Linked DNA regions of Caenorhabditis elegans. The protein of the gene in region 1 interacts with the protein of each later gene in a pairwise test. Each region holds a gene or a part of one and is shown in the gene's direction. Other genes may lie near its edges. The genes, in order: K07F5.14 and brc-1.

Evidence for each region.
Region 2: the proteins of K07F5.14 (region 1) and brc-1 interact in a two-hybrid assay, tested with the Caenorhabditis elegans proteins (one large-scale study listed by BioGRID).

What each region holds. Positions count from the first base shown.
Region 1 is NC_003282.8:9,860,334-9,864,660, forward strand, and holds K07F5.14 (NUC153 domain-containing protein), read left to right. Parts: upstream 1-1,887; 5' UTR 1,888-1,890; coding exon 1,891-2,115; intron 2,116-2,229; coding exon 2,230-2,338; intron 2,339-2,390; coding exon 2,391-2,884; intron 2,885-2,933; coding exon 2,934-3,257; intron 3,258-3,542; coding exon 3,543-3,659; 3' UTR 3,660-3,734; downstream 3,735-4,327. Other genes in the region: npp-1 (Nucleoporin Nup54 alpha-helical domain-containing protein), read left to right, coding at 11-190, 241-634, 729-907, 958-1,155, 1,203-1,412; K07F5.16 (J domain-containing protein), read left to right, coding at 3,862-3,942, 3,991-4,092, 4,155-4,274.
Region 2 is NC_003281.10:3,859,887-3,864,844, reverse strand, and holds the start of brc-1 (Breast cancer type 1 susceptibility protein homolog), read left to right. Parts: upstream 1-1,886; coding exon 1,887-1,957; intron 1,958-2,010; coding exon 2,011-2,356; intron 2,357-2,812; coding exon 2,813-3,041; intron 3,042-3,090; coding exon 3,091-3,164; intron 3,165-3,226; coding exon 3,227-3,565; intron 3,566-4,958. Other genes in the region: acs-19 (Acetyl-coenzyme A synthetase), read right to left, coding at 1-230, 281-340. UniProt on the Caenorhabditis elegans protein: E3 ubiquitin-protein ligase that specifically mediates the formation of polyubiquitin chains and plays a central role in DNA repair.

The sequences.
Region 1 (4,327 bases):
ATTTTTTCAGCAGTATCACCCATTTGTGAAAGCTGTCGGAGATCCAAAGCTCTTTGGAAATGATAATGATGGAGTTGTTGCTAAGTTGAATCAAGTTGCTGCCGGTTTGGGTGTCGGAAAAGCTCCATACAAAGATGGAAATCAGCTTCTATCGTTTTCAATGGAAGGAAACTTGTTTGAACGATTTGTTGTAAGTTTATTTTATAAATCACTGAAAACTTGCACAGTGTCACGTTTCAGGGAATCGGATACAATCGTATTTCGGAGCGAACCGACGATGAGGGATTTGTAACTTTGGTGCTGCGTCATCCTATTACAAACTTGAACACAGAAGAACGCCGTGACAAAATTCTTGAAATTATCAAAGCTATTCTTGGTGGCGGACCAAATGTAGAAGTTCGATATGCTCCTGGTACTTCGATGAGAACACTTTCTGATGGATGCACAGAAATCTGTATTATCGCCAAAGAAGGCGGATTTGTTGCAGGAGCTATTAAACTTGCTCAAATCCTCAATGATGCTCCAAAAATGACCCAATTAGAATCGCAGTTGCAAGTGGATAAAACAAGGGTTCTTCCTAAAGTTGGAATGTCGAAAGCACAAAGAGATAGATATTTGGAGACAGTTCCTGATGGTTAGTTTACTCGTTATTTTTACTATGTTTATCATTTATTAACAAAGATTTTCGTTTTCCTCCCTCGCATTGTATCAAATTTCATTCATTTCAGGAATCGATGAGCGTATTTGGAGACAAGCAATCAAAGAAAACCCAGCTCCAAACAAACTTCTTCCTGTTCCAGTACGTGGATGGGAAGCATTAAGAGACAGACAGAAGGCTCAAGTTGGCGAGTCGAAACTATTCCACGAGGCAATTAATGCATTGGGAAATCGTGTTGAAGAAGCTAATGTAAGTTGTTATAACTTGATGAAAGTTTACAAATGTCATACATATTTCAGCATGAACATGCAGATGCAGTTGTTAAGATGGAGATTATTCGTAATCGCCATAAAACTCTCTCGTACAGAATTGTTCGTGTTATGCTTGCACAATGGATTGTATCAAGATATTCACGTCAAATTGACACTGATGAGGATGTAATTGAAGCTAAAGCTGATACACTTCTTGCCCAAATGAATCGTCATAATCAAGTGAAGGTGAGAAAAAATTATGATTTAATTTTGTATAAAACAATTAATTTCAGTTTTATGTCGACAAATTCTACGAGATTTTGGAATCAAAACCGGATAAACTTCAAGAATCAATGTGGAAAATGTTTGATATGACAATTGAAGATGAACACTATGCTCGTAGAGTGCTTACCAAATTTGTTAATATTTGCTCTGGCCTTTACGAGTCAACACATCAACAAATCGAAAGTCTTGAAGCTTGTAGAAGGGCTCTAGAAGGATAATTTATTTTTTAGAAAAGATTTTCTGAAAATCTTTTTTTCAGATTTTCTCGTATTAATTTAAAAATTCGCTCATTTCTTTTGTATCATCATTATTTTCTTTCAAACTCTGACAGGTTTCTGGTTATTTCTGTTTCGACCTAAGATGTGTGGCAGAAAATTGTTTTTAAAACTTATACATATTGAGCAAAAAAGCTCGCTTTTTTCTATGTTCGCCTGTCATCACGAGTACATTTTTTCATAAAATATGCCTCATTCTTGGTTGTAACTGTTGATCTGACCTCCTCAAATTGTTAATTGTCTTATTTCACACACTGTTTAATAGATTGAATTAATTCATCTCAAACTTCTATCTAGAATAAATTTGATCTCCATTTTTCTGTTTGAGTTTTGTCAAATAACGGTTGTCTCCCGTTCGAATTTCTGCGATTTTCAAATAATTAGAATCACATAAAAACTATTGCAAAATGTATCTCAGAAAATGGACGATGAAGACAATGATGAAAAGAGACGTCAACGTTCAGATGAAGCTCGTCGAGCCGCGATGAGGCAAAAAATTCAAGATCAGAGAGAAAGAGATCGTCAAATTGCTGCTGACATTGCTAATGTTGACAAAAAAACGACAAAACGCATTGTATTTGAAGATTCGGATGATGGGGATGATCAGGATGAAGAAACAGAAAAAACAGCCGCGAATGGTGAAAAGGTTGGAAGTTTTTCAATTTTTTGAGATAAAAATCTCTTATAACAGCAATTGCCCGATTTCATAAAGTTGTTTGCTGTAAAGACAATACTCGTAAACTAAGTTGGAATAATTCAGAAAACCTCGCGCAGTTCAAAACGTCCAAAACTCTTCGATTCTGAAGATGAAAACGATAAAGATGAGGAGGAAGATTTTGAAATCAAAAATAGACACTCTGGTCCTAAAGGTATTGTCTAAAATTAAAATAAATTAAACCAAAACTATTTTTCAATTTTTAGGCGAAAAGCTGATGCACCTAGAATCACGTTTCAATAGTGATCCCCGATTCAAATTGGACGACAAGTTTGCAGAAAGTGATTCTGATGAAGATGGAAATATGGAGCAGAGCTCGGAAAAGCAAGAAATGAAATTAGAAAAAGATAAAAATCGAGAACTTTTGTCTAAAATTCTAGGAAAAAGTGTCGAAGAGAAAAAACCAAATACTATAGAGTCTTCAACACTTAAAGCTCGACCATTCACTCGTTTCGATCCTGAAAATCCTGAGCATTTGGAATGGATGAAAGCTTTTGAAGCTTCGAAAAATCCACAAAAAGTCAAGAAAACTGAAGAAAGTACAAATTCGGACGAAGATGGGAATGGAAGTGACGAAGGAGACGAAGATTCAACTGAAAAGAAAAAGGAAGAAGTCGTTGAAAAAGACGAGGAAAGCGGTGATGAGAGCTTTGAGAAAGCTGAAATCTTTTTCAAAATGGATGACGCGTTTTCAGCTGAAGTGAGTTTTCAACAAAAAAAAACATTTTTCACACAAAAATTATTTTCAGATGAAAGAACGAAAAGATGGTGATGATCCGTCAACTGGAGGTTTCTCTTTTTTATCAATGATTGGAAGAAAATATGATGACGAAGCAGTTGAAGATGATGGAGAAAATTTAAAGAAAATAGAACCAACACAAAGTAAAGCCGAACCGTCTGGAAATGTTGACAAAATCGAAAAATCTCTACTCAAAGTGAAAGTTAGCACAAAGTTTTTCGTCGATCCTCTGTCGGATGAAAAAATCAAAAGTTTAGCGGCTAATTTCAGAAGAACTCAAACAGTGGAGAAAGTTATTGATAAATGGGCACCTCATCGAGATGCTATTTTCAAGGTGAGTAGTTTTTTTTTTGAGCCTGACCGACTATTGAGCTCTGTTTTATTATTTCAAGCGAGTCTTAATACAAAAAAGATTTCAAATTGTTTTGATTCAGAAAGTTATACCAATTTCCAGTATGATCAAATAAGTCCACCATCTTAATAAATAACAAAATTTTCCCTAACTGTCTGATTCTCGTTACGCATACACAATCTCATTCTCAATCTTTTTGCGGAAAAGTGTCATTATTAATCGATTTTTCTTTCTTCTTCCAATATAAATTATTCATACATTTTTTAGCTCTGGAAGAAACAACGTCGTGATGCAGTAAAAAAGCAGAAAGATTCATTTTTCACAAATGGAAAACGAAAACGGAAAGCTGATACAGGAAACGAAGATGCTCCTGAGACTGCGTGAAATGTTCAAGATCTAATAGTTATTCAATTGTTCGTTGTTGTTTTTGTTGATTTTCAAATGTTTGTTATAGTAAATACATATTTTCAAATGTTTTGATTTTTTTGAAAACTTACTCTGGTTTAATTTCCGATGAGAATACCTTTTACATTTTTTATGATAATTTTTGTTAAACTATCATAATATTTCAGAATTCTTCAGCGTAATGTCATTTTCGGATGTTTTGGATGCAAAACCAAAAGAGCCAAAGCTCTATCGATTGCTTGGGTGTGATGAAAGCTCTTCGGTAGGTTAAACTTTAAAATAATATTTTCATAATTTAAGTTATATTCAGATAGATCAAATAACTGCCGAATATCGGGCACGGGTTCGCGACTGCCATCCGGATAAAGTGAAGGAGCACAACACGAATTCGACTGAAAAATTCATGGAGCTACAGGGAAGTTTAATAAAATAAATTAATATCAATAAAACGCACAATAATTGTTGTTACCTCTTCAGAATGCATATTCTATTTTAACGAGTGATTCTCGTCGAAAAACTTACGATTCGTGGCTTCATTCCCCGTTTCCAGTTTCTTTTGAAGACTTCACAAAGTCTCAGGACACTTTTCAGATGGTAATTTTGGCTCCGATATGTGTTTTTGAGTTTTTTTGGTTCGGTCCTTGTGC
Region 2 (4,958 bases), on another chromosome or scaffold:
TACGAGATGTTAGTCTTGGCTCCATCCATAAACTTGACGAAGACATTTCCAGCTTTCGAGTCGAAATTCCATTCGAGACCCTTAGAGGTTCCTTGTTCGAAATGGAGTTCAGATGAGACGGTACGCCAGAACTCGTCAGCATCGTTGATCGAGGAACGGTACAAATCGTGGTAAGATTGAAGGCCAGCACAGTGAGCACCGGCAAGGAGTGGGGCTGGAGGGAGGAAAATCTGAAATCTATTGGTTTTAAAAGTATTCTTTCGAAGAAATAAATTCTTACATCCTCGTCGAGACCTTCTCCATCGTTGGCTAGGTTGAACTTGACGCGAACGTCCGACATGATGAGATGCAATAACCTGAAAATGAGGCACTTTATGATAAGAAAATGCGGTAAAACATGCGAAATATGGCACCATAAACCGTGAGCAGGACAAAGAACAAACACTTGGAAAAGAAAAGAAAATAGAAAGAAAAAAAGGAAAACTGGAGAAAACAAACTCAATAACACAACGCGAGAAATACAATTTCGTTTCGTTTTTTCTTCTATTTATTAGATTTCTCACAATTTGTTACCAGTAAAGTCACGTTCTATATTTCAAACTACTCCTAAAATTCGGTTTGAACAGTTCTCTGATAAACGAATTTCGAAGAACGATCAGAAAACAAATCTACGGTTGTGTGTGATCAATGGGGTCAAACGGTGGACGAAAGGGGACGGCGGAGAGAGGAAAAAGTGAGAGAAAATAAATAAAATTGACCTTCGAGTGCAGAGTTTTGCTGGTATTTTGGTCAGAATTGATTATGAAAATCTGAAAATTACCGCCGGGAAAGTTGAAAATTTGACGTGGAAACGTTTAAAAAAATAAGATGAGAAAGTTAGTACTGTAGATGTCGTCGGATCAAGTGCACAGTACGCAAGCACCGTTACGAAAAATTGCACTAATTGCTCAATTAAATTTTTTTAAAAAATTAATTTTTATAGTGTGTTTTGTGTTTTTTTTCTGCTTTTTTAATGATTTTTAAAGGCTTGATTATGTTTTTTTCTCAAAATTTGAATAATCAATAACATTAATTAATTACTTTATTAAAAAACCACATTTGGCATTTTAATAAAGCAAGTTATCGCGACAAACGGCAAAAATGTCTCTTTTTATAAAAATTGTTTTTTTTTGAGTTAAGAGAAGATGTGGAGTTTTTTGAACTACATTAGTTTTCTAAAAATTTTATCATCTAGATTTTGAGGAAAAAAGCAGATTATATATCTTTAATCTTGGTTTTAAAATTTTTTTAAAAAGCAGAATATTAAAGTAAAATATTATAAAAAGAAAAATTCGTGTTTGCAAAATTTGTTTGAACGGAACCTTGCAAAAATGATATTTAGCAGCTAAACTAACTGAAAACTACTGCATAAAGCTTTCCCAAAAAGAGCTACCATCCAGAAAATGTTTTTTTTTTCAAAGCCGAAAAAGAAGAAAAAAAGATAGAAAACCGAAAAAGCAGCATCGTTTTCGCGCACTCTTTCTTCTTTTTTTCTTTCTTTTTCTAAAAAAAAATATTCTCCGTAGCTTGAAGTCTCAGGATTTCCAAAGGGAATTTCCTTGATAGAATATGGAAAAACAAGAGAGTCATCAGAGAAGGGAGAGGAAAAGCGGGGATGCTGGCGAAGACCGGGGGCACCGACTGAAATATAGGCACCGGCGGGGAGGCGGGGCGCTCTCTCCTCTCCGCTTTACTCCGCCCCGATTGTCAGTGGAGCAGGTTTGCAATGAGTGTTCTCTGATGCCCCCTCAGCGCGGGAGTTTTGAAATCAAATATTTTGTATTTTAACCTACTTTATTGATTTTTCAATTAAAATGAAATGTTATTTGTTTAAAATTTAATTTCAGATGGCAGATGTTGCACTGAGGATCACAGAAACAGTGGCACGACTGCAAAAAGAACTGAAATGTGGAATTTGGTAATTTATTTTCAAAAAATCAACAAAAAAACCTTAAATTGGTTTTTTTTCAGCTGTTCAACATACAAAGATCCAATTCTGTCCACATGTTTCCATATTTTCTGTCGTTCTTGCATTAACGCTTGCTTCGAACGAAAACGAAAAGTTCAATGCCCAATTTGTAGAAGTGTACTGGATAAGCGAAGTTGTCGAGATACTTATCAAATTACAATGGCTGTGCAGAACTATTTAAAGCTATCAGAAGCATTTAAAAAAGATATTGAGAATATGAATACGTTCAAGTCACTGCCGCCAGAGAAAATGTTCATGGAAAGTCAAATGCCGCTGGATATCACGATTATTCCAGAGAATGATGGAAAACGATGCGCTCCAGATTTTGCTATACCTTTTTTGCCAGTGGTATGCTTTTTGGCACAAAAAACCAATTAAAACCAAAAGAAAATCACTAAAAATATTTCTAAAATGTCAAATAAAAACATTTTTCACCTTTTTTTGTGTCGTATAGCGATTAAATCAATTTTTAATAATTTTATTACACACTTTTTTCATCGATTTGCTAATTTCTGACTGAAAATCATAGCGGACTGCGAAAAAATTTCGTCAAAAACACGAAAAAAGCAGAAAAGAAATATTTTTTACTTTTTTTTTGTTTGGAAAACTGGACTCTATAGTTACATTTTCTAGTGTATTTTTTTGGGAAAAAAAATTAAAAATGCAATACAAATTGCTAATTAGCTAAATAGTTGAAAAATTTTGAGTTTTTGCATAATTTAGTCCGTTTTTCGAAGTTATCATTAAAAAATTCGGCCTTTTTGGGCTATTTTGACTCTATTAACATTAAATCTGTATTTTCAGCGCCGAAAGCGACCGAGTCGACCACAACCGCCGAGCGCATTCGCCGAGGAGCCTGCAGAACCGGTAGAACCGCCAGAACCAGCCACAAAACAACCTGTAGAGCTCCAAAGTCGAGTATTCCCGCTGGAAAAATTGAAAAAAGACGTGGAAACCTCTACAGAAACGTATAAAATATCAAGAGAAGAACTGAAAAATGTTGATATTGAAGAATACATAAATACCCTCCGAGGTTGGTCAAAAATCAAAAAAAAATTCGCTAATTTTTGCCAATTTTCCAGAAAATTCGACAGAGATTGATGAAATCGATGCACTTTTCCAATTAATGCCGACGATGCGACAATTTCTTCGAAATGTTTGTGATGATTCGGGCTTATTTAGAGGAAAATAATTTTTGAAATAAAATATTTTTTGCAGAATATCAATCAGCTAATGGAGAAATTCCATGTGGCGCCACCGAAAAAATCAGAGAAACCAGCGAATCGAAGAGTATCCTTTGCGAGTTCTCAAGATCTTGAAAACATAAAAATTATGACAGCTTCTGAATCGCTGGAAACTCCTCCTGAGCCAATCCAAAAACTAGCCCAAAAGCCTGAAGTTTTCAAAAGTACTCAAAATTTGATCGATTTGAATCTAAATACTGCAGTGAAAAAGCCAGTGGTCGTAGCATCAGATGATGATGAAGTTGTAGAAGATTCTGAAGGAGAACTACAAATTGATGAAGATGATCTGGCAAATGTTACCTGTGCTACAAGTGTAAGAAATATAGGAAAATCATTGTGTGCAGAATATATCAGGGGTGTGCGGCAAATTTGCCGAATTTGTCGTTTGCCGAGCTCGGCAAATTTCAAAAAAGTTGATTTGCCGAATTTGCCGAGCTCGGCAAATTTCGAAATTTGCCGCACACGTCAAAAATTTGACAGTACAATTTCGACTAAAACTACTGATTTTTTCGCCAAAAATTCAGTAAAATGACACAAAATTGAGTTATTTTGATGCTTAAGCAGACATACTACACGGAACTGATTCCGAAGCCAGATGTGTGTTAAGAATTCGGTAGTTTTGGTGGTCCAAAAACATCAAAAAATATCAAAAATTTCCGAGTTTGTTAAGCACGGCAAATTTGCCGAATTTGCCGAATTAGCCGAGCTCGGCAAATTTGCCGAATTTGCCGTGCTCGGCAAATATTGAACAAAGAGATTTGCCGAATTTGCCGAGCTCGGCAAATTTTGCGATTTGCCGCACACCCCTGGAATATATGGTTTTCAACAGAAAAATTCAATTTTAATTTTAAAAAAAGTTGAATTGTTTTATAAAAAAGTGCTGAACCCGAAAAAAAAACATAATTTTGAGAAAATGCAAATATTTTTTCATTCAAAATTTCCATTTTTGTTATAATTTCGAGCATAACTTTAAAGAAAAAATTTGAAAATAAATTTTTAAGCAATTTTTTTTTAAATATCAGGTTGTCCCATAAGTTTTTGTACTTTTTTTCAAATATTTTTCCAAAACTTCTAGAAAGTTTTAAAATTTTTTCATCGTAGGTCGTGTCAAGGTCGGGTCGTCCCCTTTCAGAAAAGATTCATTTCATCCATTTCTACTTTGCCACGATGACAATCATCAAACTTGAACGTCGAGACGTTAGATTGCTTCTTCTTTATGAATTTCGTCTTGGTCATTCAGCAATGGAAGCGGAACGAAACATATGCGGTGCGATGGGTGAGGGAGCACTCTCTTATAATACAGCAAAGAGTTGGTTTCAAAAGTTCAAGAACGGCGACTTCAGTCTCGAAGAAATAGAACGTTCTGGGCGACCGGTAGAGTTAAATGAAGAAGACCTAGTGAAGCTGGTGGAGGAAGAGCCTCGTCTTAGTCTTCGTGAAATGGAAGAGAAGCTTGAGTGTTGTCATAGCACAATTGCACGTCACTTGGGTCGCCTTGGTTTTACTTCAAAACTTGGAATTTGGGTGCCTCATGAACTTTCGGCATCACAGAAGCTCACTCGGGTCAACGTTTGTACTCAACTTCTAACTTTTCGTCGAAAGTTCGATTGGCTGAACAATCTGGTTACTGGAGATGAGAAGTGGGTGCTCTATGTTAACCATTCCAGAAAACGTCAATGGCTTCCGATCGGTGAGAAAGGAATACC